4 linked regions of the Saccharomyces cerevisiae S288C genome follow. Changing the gene in region 4 together with the main gene of any one other region gives a genetic interaction. Each region holds a gene or a part of one and is shown on either strand. Other genes may lie near its edges. The genes, in order: PSH1, HAL5, CHD1 and YTA7.

The links.
Region 1: mutations in YTA7 (region 4) and PSH1 together harm fitness more than expected from each alone (negative genetic interaction), as found in Saccharomyces cerevisiae (3 studies listed by BioGRID).
Region 2: mutations in YTA7 (region 4) and HAL5 together harm fitness more than expected from each alone (negative genetic interaction), as found in Saccharomyces cerevisiae (3 studies listed by BioGRID).
Region 3: mutations in YTA7 (region 4) and CHD1 together harm fitness more than expected from each alone (negative genetic interaction), as found in Saccharomyces cerevisiae (3 studies listed by BioGRID).

What each region holds. Positions count from the first base shown.
Region 1 is NC_001147.6:226,933-230,549, forward strand, and holds PSH1 (ubiquitin-protein ligase PSH1), read left to right. Parts: upstream 1-1,681; coding exon 1,682-2,902; downstream 2,903-3,617. Other genes in the region: AIM39 (Aim39p), read left to right, coding at 3,153-3,617.
Region 2 is NC_001142.9:106,394-111,575, forward strand, and holds HAL5 (protein kinase HAL5), read right to left. Parts: upstream 3,069-5,182; coding exon 501-3,068; downstream 1-500. Other genes in the region: QCR8 (ubiquinol--cytochrome-c reductase subunit 8), read left to right, coding at 41-325; cAMP-dependent protein kinase catalytic subunit TPK1, read right to left, coding at 3,573-4,766.
Region 3 is NC_001137.3:503,232-510,371, reverse strand, and holds CHD1 (chromatin-remodeling ATPase CHD1), read right to left. Parts: upstream 4,981-7,140; coding exon 574-4,980; downstream 1-573. Other genes in the region: GCG1 (gamma-glutamylcyclotransferase), read left to right, coding at 6,590-7,140. UniProt on the Saccharomyces cerevisiae protein: ATP-dependent chromatin-remodeling factor which functions as substrate recognition component of the transcription regulatory histone acetylation (HAT) complexes SAGA and SLIK. It recognizes H3K4me.
Region 4 is NC_001139.9:1,025,582-1,032,237, reverse strand, and holds YTA7 (chromatin segregase YTA7), read right to left. Parts: upstream 4,869-6,656; coding exon 729-4,868; downstream 1-728. Other genes in the region: SLH1 (RNA helicase), read right to left, coding at 1-447; HUA1 (Hua1p), read left to right, coding at 5,585-6,181; FOL2 (GTP cyclohydrolase I), read left to right, coding at 6,503-6,656. UniProt on the Saccharomyces cerevisiae protein: Functions as an ATP-dependent nucleosome disassembly factor that helps evict canonical histone H3 from the 5'-end of genes upon their induction.

The sequences.
Region 1 (3,617 bases), on a different chromosome or scaffold from region 4:
CCATGAATCAAGCTGATAATCCGTTTTGGCAACTGATTACTTCCCAAAGACTCCTTATATTAGGATTGTCTAGACACCCCGGTATTACTCGAGCCCTAATACAACAGTAAAAGTTTGTAAATATATAGAATTAATTGGTCACAATTGTTTGATGCTCCCCTTTCAATTAACGAATATCTATTGACTGGTATTTATATTACTATTATATTATCATATAAGACGTGACAAGATGACATAAAGACTAAGAAACAGTCATTAGATTCATATGAAAGCTAAATGCAAGGATAAATATTGTAATAAGATAATAAGGGCCTGCACATAAAAATGGGAAGAATAAAAAGAATAGTAATAATAATAATGATGATGACGATGATGATGATGATGATGATGATGATGATGATGATTATGATTACAATGTATTTGATAATATACTAGTATCACGAATATTACTAAATGGATGACACTCTAGAGTTTCATCTGAATAATTACCAAATTATTCACCTATCTCTTAGTAGTATACCTATTTTTTCGTTTAATTAGTGTCCTTATTGGCTTTAAAGTAATTAATGCAGATGGTTCATGGCATACAAAAAATACTTTGTTTCGTTTGTTTTTTTTTTCTTTTTGTTATGATTTTATTAGCCTAATAATGTCCTAGAGTTAACAAATGTAAATTGTAAGAGGATACATTACATCTACAAAAATTAAAACCAGTTAACTCTCTATCCTCATCCTTTTAATTTTGTTGAATAAGAGGCAACCATAAAGGTTAAGAAATAGCATCAGATGTAATGGAAGCTGAAAAATGCAATGATTGATTATTCAATAATAGTGAATAACGGCGTGTAAATGAATAAGAAATGGTAATAATAATACTGATGCCTTTTTATGGATTCCTATATCCTTGTGGAAAACCTCTTGAATACTGGGTGAATAATTTGATAATTGTTGTCATTCCATTGTTGGTGAAGGCTATAATATTATGTATACAGATTATAATAGAAATTTTCCTCGAGGATATAGGAATCCTCAAAAAGGAATCTATATTTCTACATACTAATATTACGAATATTCCCAATTCCGTTTTATACATTTCATTATCCTATTACATTATTAGTCCTTGCATTTCGCTTCAATCAATCTAACTGTTTCCCAATCTTTATGTTATCTTCTTACACTGCATGTGATAATATACTAGTAACACGAATACTACTAAAAAGATGATATTTTAAAGTTTCATTCCAACACCTCTAACATGTTCTATATACCTAATATTAAACCTTTATTAATAATGGAATCTCAACAATTGTCTCAAAATTCTCCCATTTCTCACAATCTTGTGCATTGAGAACTGTGCATCATTAAGTTTCTAAAATTTAGATCTTTCATAAAATATTAGACTCCATGGCCAAGTTGGTTAAGGCGTGCGACTGTTAATCGCAAGATCGTGAGTTCAACCCTCACTGGGGTCGTTATTTTTGAATACCCAATACTTTTTTTTCGGGCCATTTCACACAATGGCGTTTTTTATCCTATGTCCACTACAATTTAGATGAGCTCTCTTCTAGCATACAACTGCGATGAGGAATTTGATAATATTCTATTTTAAGCATTAAGTTTTCAGAAAACGAACGATCGCGTTTTTTCTCAGACAGAAAGTTTTAATATATTGATAAGAATAATGGGCGACGAATTACACAACCGTTTACTTCACCAAAACGATGGCACCAAGGACGCCATACTTTATAAGATAATAGAATCGTTAGTTTGCTCCATCTGCCACGATTATATGTTTGTACCGATGATGACACCTTGTGGTCATAATTATTGCTATGGTTGTCTGAACACCTGGTTTGCCAGCAATACTCAAAAAGAATTGGCTTGTCCGCAGTGCAGATCTGATATTACCACCATTCCCGCATTGAATACAACGTTGCAACAGTATCTATCATTCATTTTAGAGAAATTAAGGGACCAGAATGATGAATCTTTTAAAAAACTTTTAACAACTAAAACCAAGGAGGAAAATGATTACAAGAATGACAAGGAAAAGGACACATTGTTTGACAAAGTATTTAAGAATAGCGCATTGGCAGTGGCCGACGACTCGGATGATGGTATCACACGTTGTAGTAATTGTCATTGGGAATTAGACCCAGACGAAGTAGAGGACGGAAATGTTTGTCCCCACTGCAATGCCAGAATACGGAATTACGCAGGTGGTCGCGACGAATTTGATGAAGAAGAATACAGTGAAGGAGAGTTGGATGAAATCCGGGAAAGCATGCGTAGGCGTAGAGAGAATCGATTTGCGTCTACCAATCCGTTTGCTAATAGAGATGATGTAAGTTCTGAAGACGATGATAGCAGTGAAGAGGAGCCCATGCGAGAACATATCCCACTAGGCCGTTGGGCCAGGTCACATAATCGTAGTATTGCTGTGGATGCTGTGGATGATGAAGACGACGAAGAAGAGGATGAGGAAGAAGAAGAGGAGATGGATTCCGATTTGAAAGATTTTATAGAGGATGATGAAGATGACGAAGATGAAGATGGAAGTAGGAGGAATTTGGTATTGTCTGCACTCAAGAACAGACATGTAATTATTACTGATGATGAGGAAGAGGAGCAACGGCGACATGCTACAGAAGAGGAAGATCGCGATAGTGACTTTTACGAGCATAATGATGATGGTTTTGTAAGTGGTGATAGCCTTGATGAGGATCAGAAGGAGGTTACACGGATACAATCGAGTTCTGATTCCGAAGATCGTTCACTTTCGTATTCCGGCTCCAGCGATGTCAAGGATAACAATGACGATAACACGGAAGAATTAGATGACCCACAACCGAAAAGGCAGAAACGCTTCCGTGTAGTTCTAGGAGACAGTGACGATGAATAATCTGAACATTTTAACTAGCGGGAACGGCATATGTACGGAACTTTTATGTATGTTTTTAAAAAATTTCCTTTCTATCCTTATTACATTAAGATTTTTAAGCGATAGTAGGATCGGAAATATAAGCACTCGTTTATGATATAAATAGGTCAAGAATTTCGTAAAGTAAAATCAATACATATGTGAATCTTTTTTTTTTTTTTTTTGGGACTGCTATTGGTATTTTTTTAGCGTCACGTTAATCAGCCCAATTATGTGGGGGTTATGCAAGAAGCATTTTCCGAGCAATAAAATTCAAGTGCAGGAGAGAAACAAAGCATTAAAACCAAAGAAGAGTGGCAGCGAACATAAGACAAAGCAACTGTTTCCTGTATTCAATTGCAAGAAGAAGGAAAAAGGGGTAATGATACGGTTTGCGATTCTACGTAATGCTAACACATCTCTACTGTCCGCGAGAAGTATATGCTTATTTACCCAGGCGCCTACCTATTGTCATGTAAGGTTGAATACCTTGAATAAAAGCATTACAACTAAAAGAAATTCATTGACAGAGTCGAAAAGGCATGTCCATGATGGCAAGCATTTTTTTACGACGCCACATCAACAGCAACAGACGAAGTTGGGGGAAATTGAAGAGGGACACAGTCCTAACATAAAAGGAGAGGACTTGAGAAGCATTGGTCAAGCAATAACACATCAGCGAAACAAGCGCCGAAAG
Region 2 (5,182 bases), on a different chromosome or scaffold from region 4:
CAAATAATCAACAAAACACTACACAAAAACTTCTACGATAATGGGTCCTCCAAGCGGTAAAACTTACATGGGATGGTGGGGTCACATGGGTGGTCCAAAGCAAAAAGGTATAACCTCATATGCTGTGTCTCCATATGCTCAAAAGCCATTACAAGGTATTTTCCATAACGCTGTATTCAATAGTTTTAGAAGATTTAAGTCTCAATTTCTATATGTATTAATACCTGCGGGAATTTATTGGTACTGGTGGAAGAACGGTAACGAGTATAATGAATTTCTGTACAGCAAAGCTGGTAGAGAAGAGCTGGAAAGAGTTAATGTTTAATATTGTTTCCATGCCTCTACATTACATCGATCTTTTGATCTTCTAAAAACTTACATATATATTCTGTTTATAAAACAAGAGCAAATAACCCCCATATATTTATTCAGTCAGTCTATTTATTTACTTACAGTATCAGTAATAATAAATACTTAAGCATTTTTTGTTTTGTATATCTTTATTTACTAACCTTGGTATGTAAGTGTCTATAAACTACACAGCATTTTGTTTTCCTCATCCAGGAGCTTTGTAGTAATTGTTCAATGGTGATTCTCTTCGTGGGGTCGACCTGGAACGTTCTATATAGTGCAATTTTCCTCAACCTATTCAGTTCGCTACTAACATGTCTTAATTCCTCAAATAGATAAAACTGTCCATCATCTTTAATTTCACTGAGAAATGATTTAAAAAGAGAATCCTTTTCAGGAATGGCGATTTTCCAAAGATACTGTCCCATGACCATTGTACAGTAAACAATACCACAACTCCAACAATCTACCAGACGCGGATCGTATTCTGCATCCCTTATAAATTCTTCAGGTGCCACATATGGCTCTGAACCCATGGCTCCACTCTGGAAGTGGACGTGTTTCTCCCAGGCAGTCTGAAAAACTGAACTAGTACCAAAATCACAAATTTTTAACAACCCATTAGGTTGGAAAAGGATATTTTCGGGTTTCAAATCACAGTGTGCTATACCATGATCATGCATGTATTGAACACCATTCAAAAGCTGTTTCATAAAACAGTCTGCTTCTAATGGGTGCAACGGACTCCCAGAACCTTCTTTAACAGTTTGGATCAATCTTGAACTCCCGTTATTCGATTCATTTGAGATGTTATTCCTTGTTAGCAACGAATATAAATCACCTGAAGCACAAAATTCCATCACTTCTACGAAGGAATTGCTATATTCCATTAGGTCCAAAATTTTCAAAATGTTTGGGGCATTGAAGACATGTTTTGGTGGAGTGGTTCTTGAAACATTTCCTGCTATCATCGCATTTGCCTCAAAATGCGGATGGCTCAGTGAGTGTCCAATAATGAACTCAGAGGTTAATCTCGTGCAAAATTTATCAATTTGGTCACCTGGCTTGGGCTTCAGCTCTTTGACGGCAAAGAATAGTTTTTTTCCATTAGAGTAGGTACTGTATGGTAGGACATCTTTAGCAGTCTTGCACCTTGCGCAAATTTTGACCACCCCGTATGCACCTGCACCGACGACCCCAATAGATTTTCCGTATTTTTGTGAACAAGGTTTATGAGATGTATCGTCATTGGTTGTTCCTGCCTTGCCCTCTGTGTCATCAGAATCCTCCTGTTTATTGCTATTGCTTCTGCCTTCGCCATTGTTGCCTTTTGTATTTTCACTTTTAAGGCCCTTTCGTATTTTTTCCGATAATGCATTGATTAGCTTCAACTCTTCAACACCTACAGCAGCGTTAGGATTCACGATTTGCGGAATATTTTTACCATCGTTTTTCATCAATTCATCATTATTGCCATTTTTAAGGTTACTCGTTCTCGATTTCTTTAAAGTCTGCGATTTGATGAATCTCTGGGATGGTATTATTGAAAATGCTTTTTCTAGATTGATTTGTTCGCCGTTTTCTTCTTGTTGCTGCTGTTGCTGCTGTTGTTGGTTTCCATCCTTATGAGATTTGAATAATCCACTTAAAGAAAACACAGATTTTTGTTTATGCATATTTGCCTCACTGTCATTGTCACCATCATCGCCGCTGTTTACAGAAGCGTCAGCATCCTTTTCATCGCCACTATCCACATTTTTATTGTTTGTAATAATTGGCAGCACTCTCAAAGAATGTTCGTGGTATCCGTTTTCAAAGACTTTGAAATGACCTAAATCCAAAATACATTTACATTCGATTTCTTGAAATTTCGGTAAGCTGGAAGCACTGATAGAGTCTGAGTGATTTCTTCCCCTCATGTATATTCTATTTCCTGTACCATTACCAACATTGTTGGTGGCATTTGAATTCATTCCACCATTTCCATTTTTCATTGGTGGTGACCTTGGTGTGGACAAACTGTTCTTCCTACTTCTTGTGCGATTGCTATGATTACGTACGCCCAGACTGTTTCTCCTTCTAAGTTTTGATTCTTCGTCATAATCAAGCATAGCATCAATAGAAAAGTTATTTTCCTGATCCAAAACATGGTTGGCATTACTATTTGCAGGGTTTGAAGAACCTGCGTTTTGTGGGAAGTTTTTCAGCCGTTCCCTTGGTTGTCTTTCAACCTCATCGCTACCAACTGTATAGCGGTGATGAGGCACATAAGCTTCCTTGGAACGTACATGTTTTGCACGAGCTTTCTCTTCCTTTTTATTTTGAAGATCCTCTCTCTCTAACAAATTGGCTTCATCTTCATCTTTTTCACTTATGAAAGATTCTTGTGAAAACATTTCATTTTCTGAATTCAAAGATGGTTCCCTACTAGGTGACAACGAGAGTTTTGCAATATTAGGGACGCCCAGTTTGTGATGCTTAGGAGCCGCTTGTAGAACAGGGCTATGTACGGGGGATATAGACGGGGAAGATACGTTGCTAGTTATTATTCTTGCTGTTTGATGAGAATGTGCTTGGTCCTGACCGGGACGAGATGAAGGAGCCGCAGCATTATTACTGCCTGATATCCCTGAAGGCTTAAATAGACCCTTAATGGATTCGGAGAGCGATCTGGCCCTCTTCAAAGATGTGTGGCGTGAAAGCTTCTCATCTCCCATTGTTTTTATTTTTTCAAAATTTTTTTTTTATTTAGCAAGTTTCTCTATCTCCTTTGTATTCTAAAAGTAAATGGATGGAAAGAATGGATCTTTTCGTAGACTATAATGCTTCCTAAAATATACACGTATAGAATGGAGATTCCGACTTGTTTGGAGCCACCAATTGCCCTTTATTTGGTTTATACCAAGGGGCTCACGTAAAAAAAAAATCGATATGCAAAATCCTTCATTTCATGATGCAAGCTTTCGAAAGTGGCGCGGCGAGCAAAGTAGAAAATCAAAGACAGAAGCGTAGAATAAAAGCCCTTTTAATGGTAGGAATACGCCTCGATAACATCATGTATGCAATCTACAAGAACAGTGAACGCCGTTCCATCTCCGTAGTAACTATACAGGGGTTGAAATTTCGTTTTCGAAGGATAGTTGTTATGTAGAAAAGAGGGAAAAAAATATGAAAAAAAAAAAATATAGATACGAGAGGAAAATACAACAAAACATTAGTCATTAGAAGTCCCGGAAAAGATCAGCATATGGGTCTTCACCTTGAACACCGTAGTTGATGTCTTCTTCCGGGTACTTATCGAACTGTGAGGTGTCACCTTGTCCCTGTTGAATGGGCGGTTCATACGGCGTTTCTATGTTTCTAGATAATAATTTTTCCCAGACAACTTCTTTGAACCAGGGGTGGTTTTTGACATCTTCTGTACCATTTTGTAAATTACCTAGTCTTTGACTTAAGTCTCTTGTGATCAATCTACTCAACAGGTCCTTTACATCTTCGTTGAAAAATGGTGGAAATCTCAATTCGGCATTCAAGATTTTCTCATAGGTTTTCATCGTGTTAGAGTCGTAAAATGGCGTGTATCCTGCTAGCATTTCGTAAATCAGAATACCGAAACTCCACCAATCGATAGATTTATTATATGGTTTAGTACTAACGACCTCGGGTGCTATGTAGTCGGGAGTACCGCATAATGTATATGTGACGTCAGGAACGTATTTGGCAAACCCGAAATCTGTTATCTTTATATGCCCGTTTTTATCAAGCAAGATATTTTCCGGTTTCAAATCCCTATAAATAATGTCCTTGCTATGCAAGTACTCCAAAGCTAAACAAACTTCCGCTGCGTAAAATTTAGCAACTGGGTTGGGAAATCTTTGGGATTTCCTTAACAAAGAAAACAATTCTCCACCTTCAATATAATCCATAATCATGAAAATTTGCTGAGCATCTTGGAAAGTCCCCCACATTCTAATAATAAACGGATGTGTTACGATAGAAAGCATCAATCGCTCGTCGTTGGTATGCTCCACCTGTTTCAATCTTACCACGATTTCCTTTTTCAAAACTTTCATGGCGTAGTATCTGCCATTATGTCTTGATCTAATCAAATGGACCCTACCAAAAGAACCCGTACCCAGTGTCCTTAATATCTGAAAGTCTTGTAAACTATACTTCCCACTTGTAACTCTCGCTTGGGCAATAAACTGTTTATACTGCTCCTCATTGTAATAAGTGACATGTGGCTGCTTCGGTTTTTCTTGGGTTTCTCCACCCTCTTTTTCTACAGACTTACTTTCGTTACCGCTCTCTGTGGCTGTTGTTTCCCTTTCACTAGTCTCACCTTTTTGTGATTCCTCACCTTGTCTATCATCTAGAGACTTTTGACCACCTCCATTTTGTTCTTCAGTCGACATACCCAAAAAAAAGATTCTTTCACACAATCAGCTATAATTCATGCACTGCTTAAGCTAAGAGAACACTACTTTCTGTGCTACCTTTGAAGCCGATTGAAAATGCAAGCAAGCCAAACAAAAAAAAAAGTATAGGGTCAGATTCCTTAGCTTTATCAAATTAAAACTCTTAGATGGATACAATCGCAGCTTCTATGATGTTTCGCACCTAAAAATTCTCACGTTTTTCTGGCCAGAGATAGTAGATGAATATTTTTCAAGTTTTCAAGTAAAGGGATACGATATCCCCCTTGATTATTATGTCAAACTTTTACCAGATCCCGCCTTCCCTCCCCCCTAATAGCGCGAAAAAAAAGATCATCATGATTACGTAGAAAAAACCACAACAACACTATGTTGAATCATGTCATAAGCAAAGT
Region 3 (7,140 bases), on a different chromosome or scaffold from region 4:
TTATTTTTATTGGTTTTTTAGTTTTTTTTGGATTTTTTTTTTTGAGTTTTTATTGAATAAAAAGCCAGATATTAGGTGGTGGTACCAGGGCCTGCTCTATGCTTCAAACGGTTATTAAGTAAAAATGTTACTTCGTAGCTCACTGTCCTAAAAATACAAAATCAAAACTAAAGAATTTTACACAAGAAAGAAGAGATATAAAATACAAGATGACACTTTCTATTAAGTAAAACAGAAACCTCTTTCCTTGGAACTGGAGCGAAAGAGAACAATTGTCCCAGAACTTGCGATGGTGATGGCAAAAAGCGCAAAAAAAATTTTCTTTGTAAAAAGGAAAGAGAAAAAAAAAAAGAAATAATCTTCGATTAACAGTTTTCGTTAAACATGATTGATCTATCTGCTTTGTGGCTTCATACAGTATGACCTCTTATATGGTCATAGTAGTAACTAATTAAGCATTATTACTTTACGGTGCCCTATAGTACACACACTTACACGCAAATATATATACATAAATACGTTTATAGTTATGGGGGGAAGGAACAATGGAAAATGTGGTGAAGAAAAATTGTTTCACTTCTTTTGAGACTCTGTTATCTTGTCGTACATTGCCATCAGCTTTGTACTCTTAACGTCGGCAGGCCAAAAGTTGGCACTGTAAGACCAAAGGTGCTTGCGATATTTTTCTGGGCTTGCCTTTCTCGATGAGCCCTTTTGCGATTCGATATGATTACCAATCGTAGTTAATTCGGTCTTCAAAATTTTGGCCCATTCCTTACGATCAAGACTTTTGCCGCCTCTTCTAAGTCGCTTCAAAGAAGTACGTATTGCACTCATTGTGTGTCGACAGTCTTCTTCATCCATGCTGTCATATTCTTTTTCGTGAGCGCTGCCGCTACTGGGGTTGCTTGATTGCCTTGTACCATTATCTCTGGAAACCTTGGACTTTAATGGGGGCGTGGGGCTGTTTGGAGACAATCTCGTGTTATTTATTAAGGCGGCAGGACCTTTTGGGAGGGCTTTCATACGTTTGCTTGGCGGGCCATTTGCAGGCTCAGAACTTGTAATTTCTGGAGTCATGGATTTGCTGTGATTAGCAGGTTTTCTTTGTCTCTTTTTGGAAGGACCAGTAGGGAGTTTTTTCGAGCCTATGTCAGCACTGGGACTCTTTGTATTTAGGCCTCCTCTTAAGAAGGATAATAGATAATCAACTCTTCTGCCCAAGTGAATGGCACCAGGTACTTTTTTTGAAGAACCCGTTATTCCCTTTCCTTTCTTTGAGGGTGTTGGTGTTGTATCAGAGGAGCTTGCCGACTTTTTTGCTACCGGATTGTGAACTTCATTCAAGAATATTTTATCAGTAATGCCTAGAAATGGATCGTCTCTTATTTGTGTCCAGGAACCATATCCATATTTGAAAACACCAATCAATAGCTTCTCATCTTCCTCTTTCGTCCAATTAGATGACCAATTCTGTACAGGCTTAGGTGTGTTGTTGCCTAGGCTAAACTTTAATGGATCATCTTTGTAGTTTGAATTTATCAAGTTCTTCAAGTACTTTAAATCCTCCACTCTACTTAGTAAAGATTCGGCGTTTAAAGATTTAACACCTTTAAAGTTGAAAAGGACGGCTTTCTTTTCTCTTTTTTTTAAAGATAATCTAGTCAACGGATTATCCTTTGGTTGGTTCTCTGCTTTTATTTCACCGCTTTTTAGCTTTGCTCTATAGGCGGTAGCATGCTTCTCAAGTTTCTCCAAGATTTCTTTTCTATTTTTCTCTTCCTCGTGTACACAGTCTTTAGCTGCTTCCATCATTTCATCGTAAGTTTCACCGTATTTTTCAAATGATTTGACCGGCAGGGTTCCATCTGCAATCAACTCGTCCAAAATCTCCTTTAGGTTGCCAAATTTTAAAATAGCTTTATACAAAGCTCTCACCTCCGATTCACCAATAGAGTCCATGTCATTAGCTCTTGCTCTTCTTCTAGAAGATCTGGAAGTACTATCGTCGTCAGAATCTGAGTTTGCGGCGGTCCCATCACCATTAACACTGTTTTTTATTTTTTTTAGGGCGTTATCCCTTCTATTCATCATTTCAAGTTGTTCTTTAACATATTCTTCATCCTTGCGTTTCTGCTCTTCATCTTGGAGTTTTTTTAGTTCTTCTTCTGGAATGATATCATCCCAATCTATATCAGCTTTATAATCAGTCACTTCGAATTGCTTCAAAAACTCTTCACCGCCAAGATGCGACTCTCCTAAGTCTGGAGTAGTAACGTGATCCTCTGCATGATTCAAAACATCATCCAAGTTAAGATCCTCCAATTTTTTCTGGTTGTCTGTGGCAGTGAACATATTGCCTGCACCGAACTTCAGGATTGCCGATAATTCACCGGCATTTGGTTCATTCTTCTTAGTGTATTTGTTACCATCTGTCACTCCAAGAGAAATAATAGCATATTCCAGAATCATTTTCTTCCGTGCTCTTTCTAATACCTCTTCCTCTACTGTGTCTTTTGAAACCAACCTATACACCATAACGTGATTTTTTTGGCCAATACGATGAGCTCTAGCCATTGCTTGTAAATCGGCTTGCGGATTCCAATCGGAATCAAAAATCACAACGGTATCGGCGGTCATTAAGTTGATACCCAAACCACCAGCACGAGTAGAAAGTAAAAATACGAAGTCGTTTGAATCCGGAGAGTTGAAATGATCAATAGATATCCTTCTTTGAGCAGATGGTACTGTACCATCTAACCTTTGGAAGTTAATACCTTTAATGGATAAATAGTCGCCTAAAATGTCAAGCATTCTGACCATTTGTGAAAAAATCAACACGCGGTGCCCATCTTTCTTCAATCTGGTCAATAATTGGTCTAAAAGAACCATCTTACCCGAAGACATGATCAAACCTCTTAGTACGTTTTCTCGAGTCATTTTACCATCCCCAAATTTCTGTAAGACGCGCTCTTCAGCATTATCGAAGAGATATGGATGGTTCGATGCCTTTTTCAACTCGTTCATAATATTCAGTAAAGAGAAATGACCCCCTTTAGCTCCAGCAGTTAAAGCAGAGTAGTTTTTAGTCAGAATATTTTTATAGTACTCAGTCTGTACGTCGGACAATTCAACTCTTAAAATACGCTCTGTCTTTGATGGAAGTGATTTTTCTACGTCTTTCTTCAACCGACGAAGAATAAAAGGCTGTATTCTTCGGTGTAAATCATGAATATATTCTTCTTGCTCTTCATCTTGGTTTTCAAAATCAATCTCCTGATCAATCGTAAACCTTCCGGGCATTAGGAAATTAACCAACGCAGCTAACTCTTTAATATTATTCTGAAGAGGTGTGCCTGTGATTAACATACGGTTGGCGACCTTGAAACTGTTTAATGATTCATAAAGGGATGATTCAGCATTTTTTAGTCTATGAGCTTCGTCAACGGCCATAAATTGCCATTTTATACTTCCTAATTCAGCACGATCCTTTAAGATGTACTCGTATGTTGTTAATAAAACATTAAATTTCATTGTTTTTTTCCCTTTTGCCCTTGGATTGGTGTAAAATTCATATTCTCGAATGGTATCTCTTGATTTTTGGTTGCCCATATAGCATATACAATTCAAATCAGGCGCCCATTTCTCAAAAGTATCCAACCAGGCAGGCATTGTCGATAAAGGAACGACAATGATGTGAGGTCCGTTTTGTCTACGAGCAAATATCAGCCAACTGATAAAGGCGACAGTCTGGACCGTTTTTCCCAGGCCCATCTCATCTGCCAGTATACCATTATCACCTTTGGACCACAAAAATGCCATCCAATTAATACCAGTTAGTTGAAAATCTCTTAATTCCCCACCTTTAATGAACGGAGGTTGCACGCTTAACTTCTCAAAACGCGGTCTCTGTGAAGTATAATTACTGGAATATTGTGGGAGGATCTTAGAGTTTTCTCTGTTTTGAAAATGTTTCACTTGTTCAGGTGCCAATTTCACGATATCTGTGGCATTCTCCCAAGTAGCCTCGTCGTAATTTAGACGACGCCATTTAACTAAATACTGTAATTGTGAGGTGCCGTCTTCCAACGAAGCACGTTGGCTATCAATAATCCTTTCTGGCACGTGGAACTCCTCAAATTCATCAAGCCTACGTTCACGTTCCATGTCCATGATCTCTATATCTTCGGCGGTAACGTATGGATCTAATCTTACTTGTTGATCTTCGATGATGAATTGCTTACAATAGTTGTCCAACCTCTTCAATCCACGGACTTGGCCAATGGATTCATAAGTTTCCCAGGTATTGTGGAGATGAGATTCATCTGTCCATTTGATTAAGAATTCATAATTTTCCTTGCAGTTATTGAGGTCAGGAACAGTCTTTTCCAAGACCTTTCCTTCTTCCAAAGATGTCTTTAGTCTGTGATTGATAACAATATCAATACCGTGGAAGTCCTCTGGTTGAGGATTGGCAGATGCTTCATGCACATTTTCCTCTGATAAAGCCTCCTCGGAACCATAGTCATCTTCAGATTCTAAGAGGTCATCATCGCTATAATCGATGTTATAATTTACCGTTTTGTTTTGACGATTAGAAAACCTTGTTGGTATTTTCACTGTAGATTGCTTTTCAGATTGAGATTTTGGCTTAGATTTAGACTTTGATTTTGTTCTTGATTTCGGTTTTGATCGATTTTGTTTTATAGGAGAGCCATAATAATCATCATCTTCTTCAAAATCTTCCTCATCTTCGTCCTCTCCAGAATCTTCTTCGCCTTCTTCATCTTCAAATTCGTCTTCGTCGTCTTCAATCGTGGTCATTCTCTTCCTCCTCGACTGTTTAATATTATCTTCATCGTCCTCATCATCGCTATCGTTGAAGTAGTTTTGTTGATGCGCAGCAGCTCTATGTGACCGCCTCAGCCCATATAGTTCAGGATTTTGCAGCACTTCAGTAGAAATATCCTTGGCTGCCATTATAAGTGAGAATTAAATTAGAAAAGGTTCTGCTTTGAATTGGGTATAGGTTTAAAGAAATAACGGAAAAGTCTTGAAGCAAATGAAAAATAAAAACCTTTGAGAAACTTTGTCGTTAGTGAATAGGTAAGCTAGTGGAACTCAAGTACGAATTAAAGAAAATGATGGTCGATGTTTAGGCTTATTCAATTTTCTCCTTTGGAAGAAACAAGTATGTGTATATTCACAAAAGAAGTAACGGAAAAGAGAAGGTGACTTCTGCAAGCTTGCTTATCTTGACTTGATAACCCCAAACTTTTATCAACTTGACTTAGATGTCCGGACAAGAATACGATAGTACTAACCAGATATAATGAGGACAAGATTCTTCTACACAATGTTTCTCGTGGTACAGTTTCGAAATTGAAAAGAAGGAAAGGAAAAAAAGTAAAATTATATAACGAGAGGGTAACAGTATGATAATCGACTACTGAACTATGATCTGTTCGACAAGTGTTGCATATTACATGTCTTTAATGGTATCAATAATTGACATAATCTTATATCAGTAATGATATCAGGAAAGAACTTTGTAATGTTTGGGAACATATGTCCTAGTGTAGGGATGGGATGTGATAAGGATCGTGGGATGTTAAATTTATTCTCTTAGATGAAATTGCCTACACCTTCTGGACGGTTGATAATTAAGTTTTCAACTTTAGCGTGTTTCATTTTCAAAATATTGAAGAAGTGGCCTACCAGTGATATCCAACCGATGCGCGAGCAACACGCAAGCCCTTGGCTTGTGAGCAGCGTTTAGCTGACCGTATTACGCATTGATGGGCTGAGGAAAACATACAGGCAATCATGTCTTTTGATTTTGGCAACGTATGATCTTTTACCGTATATGGGGCAGTAACATATCATCGAAGTAAAAGCTAAAACAAAGAAAGTTAAAAAAAATAAACGTACAACATAGAAGCTTACCTTTCAAGGATATCTCAAAAGTATCAAATATATCACGGTGACTTCGGCCTGCGAAAGAAGATTTTCCTCGAACGGTGAAATACTGAGATGATCCATAAAGTAATGAGAGTGTTCTCGCTTGTATGGTTCGCTGACCTATGCCACCCGTGTTTCTCCATTGCGCAGAGGCTTCCATATTGACCACTACGTAGTGGCAACTTAAAACAATCAAAAATCGTTTTCTTCCTTAGGACTTGACTGCTTCGTCTTAAGATTATTGCCAGAAATTGAAGACAGAAAACATCAGTGAGAGGGGAGGGAGAGAGTGTCGCAACGTATGACCTCTTTTAAAGGCGTATGTCAACCAGCGGTTATCAATAGTTCCCTTGTGTTAAGGGAAGCTTGGAAGTTGTCACCAACACCTAGCAGACTTTTCTTCGACGTCCTCCCTAGTGGTTTATATGAAGAGAATGAGAAAATTTGCCACTCCAGTAATTTTTCCTTTTTTTTTTTTTTGGATTCGCCAAGGAGCGGGATAATTGGTATTCTGGGTAACGCTAAAAGGTAAGGTCAATATTAGCTATGAGTTTAGTCTCGAGGTGATTTAACCTTGGAAGAAGCAATCACGACGTTGGTTTGGGCTTATAAAAAGTTGTATGGCCAAATGACTAATGACAACAGTGGTATCTGGGTCCTAGGCTACGGATCTCTGATTTACAAGCCTCCGTCTCATTACACGCATAGAATACCGGCAATAATTCACGGTTTTGCTCGTCGGTTCTGGCAAAGTTCCACTGATCATAGGGGTACACCTGCAAACCCAGGAAGAGTGGCCACACTAATCCCGTATGAGGATATTATAAGGCAAACTGCCTTCTTGAAGAATGTGAATTTGTATAGTGAAAGTGCACCTATCCAGGATCCCGACGACTTAGTCACCATAGGGGTAGTGTATTATATACCACCAGAACATGCTCAAGAGGTTAGAGAGTATTTGAACGTAAGAGAACAAAACGGGTACACTCTACATGAGGTTGAGGTGCATCTAGAAACTAATCGGGAGCACGAGGCAGAATTGGGTGAAGCATTAGAACAGTTGCCTCGGCACAACAAATCGGGTAAACGGGTACTACTTACTTCGGTGTACATTGGTACAATAGATAATGAGGCCTTCGTCGGACCAGAGACCGTGGATGAAACTGCGAAAGTAATTGC
Region 4 (6,656 bases):
AACAAGGTCTATATTCCCTGTTCCTAAAAAATCCAACAATTCTTTCTCTAACTCTTGCTTTTGATGTTTATAAACCATTTGCAGTACAGTTTCTAATAATACATTGCTGCTTAGTGTCGTTTCAGCTTCATTGATTAGTTTTCCAATTTTTTTATATACTGCAACTGCATTCTTTGTTTTGTATGAATCAATTATAGATTGCAGTTGAGCAAATGAAATGTCTTTAAACTCCTCAAATATATCATCCCAATCATTTCTATCTTGTGAGAGAACAGTTAGTTCAGTTCTTTGATTTTGTTCATCCTTTTGGACTTTTTTTAGCTCGTCATCAAAATCTGGTAAAGAGATTTTCGATCTATCTAGATTAAAGGTTTGTGAAGTATCAATCATAGATTGCATTGCAATCATAAATGATTTAGATGAATCAGCAGAGTATTCAGTTGACATCTTGAGCCGGCTATTGATGGTACGGATCTACTTCTCACAATTCCAATGGTGTTAGAAGATATTATGAACATGTTTAATTTCAATATGTTCAATACATATTCCATTCTCGGTCATTACCCGAAACGTATGCCAGAACAGTGACTGTTAAAATAAAGTAGTGGAAAAAAGCATAATATATATACAAGGTGTGGTTTTAAATCTATTTCTTTTCAAGAAAAGTGCACATTCATGTATATGAACTAACTACATTTAAGAATTATATAAACATTATGGACTCCTGCTTATTCAGATAAAAATTTTATTATTTCATCGACAGTTCCTGTTTTATCCCATGCTGATTTACTTTTCCATATTATTTTTGCAACGGACGAATGAACATCTTCTAATTGAGAAACCGTAAAATTCTGACAGTGTTCGATTAAGCATGCAGATACTTTTTTTATTTGTTCGGGCGTCAAAATAAGCTCCTTGTCGCTCTTCTTCCCTTGCTCCGGTTCCACAACCTCTTTTGGTATCGGACTTCGTTCCCTTTTTTCTACCGTTTCGTGGAGGGAATTTGGTTTGTTAACCGATTGAATTTCCTTTACGTGATTTATATTATTAGTATTAGCGTCTATTTTGCTGAAGTTTTCTTCCGTAACCTGCGTTTGCAAAGAGTCTTCATTCTCTTTTGGTTCTTTTCTGGCCCTTTCATCATCATCGGTGGTTATCTCTGACGTGCAAGTGGCCTGTATCAGTTCCGTTGTGTATTCTTCATTTGCACCGCTATCCTCAGGGATGACCGCTTTTTCTTTATCTACTGCAGAGGGAATTGCCGCAGGAATCTCCTTTTTATACAGGTTGGTATCAATTGGTTGAGGGACCTCGCTGTTATTAACGATAGAGGCTGTATTGATAGTTGTTTGCAGCTGAGCTTGCAATTGATTACCAGCAGCTACACCAAACTCATTAGCCTTGTTATCCTTTAAATCAGGTTCTTGCAGTATATTTTCTTGACTCTGTTCTTTGGCTTCTAATTCCATTGCAGCTCTTTTCTCTTCATCTTCTAAGAAAAGTTCCTGCCTTTCCAAATCCCTTTGGCGAGTAGCTTTACACTCTTGAATAAAATCCGGGGTTGAAATTTCTTCGATACCCATTTGCGCGTTGGCAAACATCTCAGAGGCCTTAATGACACGTTCTCTGTCCCCAATGGTATTTGCATCCCTGTATATCAGTTCAATGTCTTTTAAAAACTGTTTTGGTTCTGAGTAATAGCCATTCCAAAGTCTCTCTTCGACAATATCCAAATCCATGTTAAAAAACTTTCGCCCTGTTGAAACCTCCAGAATCATGTTCTCATCTTTTATATATGCAGGTTGCCAATTGGGATCATTGCTTGTCTCTGGTTCGAAAAGATGAACCAAGAAGGCATCATCAATAGGTGGTTTTCTAAACCTTTTATATCTGTTTTTAAAAAGATCCATCAAGCCTGAGAGTTTGATTTTTAACACATTTTTCAATCTCATATCTTGGTGTTGAAAAGATTTCAACTTCCTTCTTAATACCACTTTTTCAGACAGTGGCTCACCATTTTCATCAAAATTTGTTGGAGCTGCGTTTGAAGTTACTTTTTGTAATTCAGGTAACGGTTTGACTCTTCTCTTTTTCATGGGAATATCACTTGGCTTTGTTTTCAGTAGTTCAATTAAATTAGAAAAATACCTCGTTATATTCTCTTTGGATGGTTTATGCAGTTGAAAGATATTTTTATCAAAAGCAAAATCAGATAAAATACCATTTTTAACTTCAGATATATCAAGATTTTCAGCTAAGCATAATAGAAGAATTTTTTCATTGCTTTGTAAAGATCTGAACAAACCTGATAAGACTAAAATAACGTTTTCTGGAATAGTGTTGATCCAAATGTCTAAATTAGGAATAAATACAACTGAGGGCTGTCTTTTCTTTGCTTCCATAAAACTTTGCACTACAGCAGCTTCAATAGTCCTAGAACTTTCCGAAACCAAAGAGGCAAGGTCCAGGTTTTGGACGTTGAATTCTTCTAAATAATTTAAAATTGCGGCTCCGACATATTGTTGACCATTTCCCTTGGGCCCATTTATTAATAACCGAGGTTTACAAATTTGTGATTCCGCCATCGATTCGAAAAACTCATATGATCTAAAACTGGATGTATCTTCATTTCCTCCATATTTGTCATGCTCTTCTTCCTCTCCACTGTATTCTTCATAATCGATGAAATTTTGTAGCAATGATGTGTTTCTCTGAAAAGTTGTGTCTTTAATGTTCAGCATATAATCCAGCTTGTTCTTTAAATTATTAAGTTGATCTGCCAGTAATGGTTTGATTAATTCAGGTAGTGGCTGAGGAGAACTACCAGTAGATCTCGCAGATGACGGAACAATTTTTTTCAAAGCTAACATGAAATCGCTAACTTTGACTTTAATCTTAGAAGGGTCCACCAAGAGTTTATCATTTGACCTATAAATTTGAGGAAAGCTTCTTTGTATACTTATTAGTGCAGCCTCAGTGCATAGGGACCTCAGATCAGCACCACCATATCCTTTGGTCAAAAAAGCCAATTTATCAATGAAGTTGGTTGACAACGGTGAACTCCATTTCCTGGTCTGAATTTGCAAAATTTTAAAACGTGCTTTAACATCAGGTAATGGAAAATAAAATTCTCTATCAAATCTTCCCGGCCTTCTTAATGCGGGATCCACTGCATCGGGTCGATTTGTGGCTCCGATGACAATGACTTGGCCTCTATTGTCCATACCATCCATCAGCGCTAATAATGTGGAAACAATACTAGCATGGATCTGTTCTTGTTTGGAACTTCTCACAGGCGCTAATCCGTCGATTTCATCAAAAAAAATGATGGAAGGTTGATGTTTTTTAGCTTCTTCGAATAACAAACGGAGTTGTCTTTCAGCTTCACCAACCCACTTGGATAAAATATCTGCACCTTTACGCATAAAAAATGTGATCTTCCTTTCATCAGAAGAACAACTTGCTGCTAACGCTCTTGCCATAAGTGTTTTACCCGTACCAGGAGGACCATGGAAAAGAACACCCCTTGGGGGCGTGATATTAAAATTTTGATACAATTCTGGGTATAATAGTGGTAAGGCCACCATTTCCTTTAATTGGTCAATGTAGTTGTCTAAACCACCTATATCGTCAAAATTTACATTCATGTCTACGCCTAATGGATCGAGGTCTGCAATTTCTGGTTTTTTCTTCTTCTTTTTTTGCGTGTTCTCTTTCTTTGTTTTCGGTGTCACGCCAAGAGGTAATATCTCATCATCGGAAGAGTCTGAATCCAGTATTAATTTATTGTTGTTATTATCACTGAATGCAGATGGGACTTGGTTGTAAAAATTAGTATTCTTACCAAATATTGTAGTTACGTCATTGCCACCAAAAGGTCCACCAGTGGGAAAAAGCCTTCTTGTGGGACCAGAATTTTGACTAGCATTCCAACCACCGCGACCACGCCGTGCAGGTGATGGGTTATGAAAAGAAAGTGCATTGTTATTCTTATCTATAAATTCTTCTGCGTTGCTAGCAGTTAGTGGTGGTGGTAATTTGTAATTTACCGGCTTAGTTCTTTCGCGAAGAAATCTTTTTTCCCTGATAGGACTATCTTCCTGTAACTCTCTAATTTCATCAGCTAAAGTTAACGCTTCATTCCTGCTATTATCATTCTCATCGTCATTTTCTTCATTTGAAGTACGCGAATGTCTTGTCCTACTTCTTAAAGCTCTTCTTACCGGTGGTGGAGTTTCTGGGTGACGTGACGATCTTGTTCTTCGAGAATTTGCCCTTTTCAAACGTTTAGAAGAAGCCGAATGGCTTATTCTGTCTCCTTCTTCGTCATCCTCATCGTATTCTTCATCGTCATCAGGGTCTGGTACTACAAATTTCCTATCGGCCGCTCTGCGCCGACGGTTGTTATCCTTCGAGTCTTCATCCAAATACTCATCTTCAAATTCGTCTGCTTCTTCCTCCTCTTCATCATCGTCGACATCTTCCTCATGAAAACTTTCGTCATCTTCTTCTGGATCATGCGCTTTTCTTTTTCTCAAGTTCCTTTCATTAGTAAGCTCTTCGTTCGTTCTGGCGTTTTCGTGCGGTGATACAAGATCAACATCATCGTCTTCATCATCGCCTTTCTGGTTGTTGTTATGATGTTCATCACTAGTAACATCAACGGGCGTCTCATCTTTGTCCATGACCTGGTCATCTTCCAAAAAATCAAACACTTTCTCAATTTCTGCGTAGTTTATTTTTCTCAAAGAGCGAGTTGTTGTATGGATTATGCCATTTTCGTCTTTAATCTGTGTTTCATACCCAACCTTTGCGTTGCTTGCATCTTCAACGTCGCTACCGCGTCTATTCCTTAAATTTCGTGCCATGTTCTTTCTGCACCAATTGTGAATAAATAGCGAGAAGAGAGAAATAGACCGTGGTAACTTCTTTTTATGACTGTCGAAAACAACAATGGGTTAGTAAGGAGTACGCAAGATCCTTCAGACGTTTTGCTTTATTTAAGACCCTACGCAGTTCCTTTTCTGCTCCTTTTCGTCCCAATATTGCTCTTTCGCTACCACTTTGTCCTTTTTCGCACACATGGCCGTACAAAATAACAGACGGTACGTTTTTAGTGATAATAAACAAGTTTATAGAGGCAGAAAAAAATTCCTCAGCGGCTAATGCCTCAACAAGTTCAGCTGCAAACGATGAAAAGACGCACACAAAAGCGAATAGAAATAACCGATCACCACAGTTCCTCTTTAAAACATCTCAAACTCAGCATTAACTTTCAAATCAATCCAGTGAAAGTATGCTTGGTTTGACACTTCACTGCCATTTCCTCCTGCCTGCCTATCTGATGCTTTGCCACCACAAGAGTGTTTTCCCTATGGCTTAATCGCTTTTTTCCATTTATTTTTCTCTTTCCCCCTTTTAATAGAGGGAAGAGAGCAGAACATACAAACATATCATTTTCTACGGTATAGCCTCCGCCTCCATCTTTAATAGTGACACTTCCATCAAGGGAATAAAGAGGCTTCAAGTCAAGAACTAAGCAGTCCCAAAAAATACCCATAAAACGAGTATAAACCATACTGTTATGTCTAAAGACACGCATGATGATGAACTGCCGAGCTACGAGGACGTAATCAAGGAAGAGGAGAGATTGCAATCTCAACCGCCACGACCACCAAGACCAGCAGCTAACTTGGCGCAAGGGCACCAATCAAGACCCCACCAAAGGCCCTCGACAATGCCAGCAACGTCCTCATCCCAAACATATGCTCACTCACACTCTTATACGCCTACAAGTTCCCAACCACGGCCTCCACCGAGGCCACAACAGAATCCTAGCTTGCCCTGGACATACCCTCCCAGGTTTTACTGTTCCAAGTGTGGAAATACGGGTTACAAGTTGAAGAATGGACGATCTTGCAAGTCGTGTTGGAGGAGGTTTGCACCTCAAAATAACGTTGTTTCTGCACCGACATATTACACAAACTATACAATGCCCGTGTACACCAACGCATGGCAGGGTAATAGGCCCTTGTACGTTCAACCAGGGGATCCTCGCCTGGGTGGCGTGCTATGTGGTGAATGCAGAGGGTCCGGACGCACCAGATTCCTGTTGGACGAAGATATATGTCCTCTTTGTCATGGTGTAGGCAGAATTATCACCCAGCCTCAACGCTATTAGCGCATGAAAATTTAGGATTTGGATGACCCGGTACGGCCTTAGTAGAAAAGCTGTGTCGCTCACCGAAAAGAAAAAAGACCGAACAACTGTAGGATGAAAAGCATATTTTAATGCTCCTAATTTTCAAACATGTCTATTACATACTTATCACATAATCCGACTGATTTGCCCTTCTTTAACTTCTTTCATTTATTTTTACGGTGCCAACCGTCTGATCGATATAGCATCCGTTCATAAAATATTATACGACTCCATCCTCAATCGTGATTGTGCGTGCGTGACTCATTTTTTGTTAGAACCAATACTTTCAATCATCCCAAAATGCATAACATCCAATTAGTGCAAGAGATAGAAAGACATGAAACCCCGTTAAACATTAGACCTACCTCTCCATACACTTTAAACCCTCCTGTCGAGAGAGATGGGTTTTCTTGGCCAAGTGTGGGTACAAGACAACGTGCAGAGGAAACTGAAG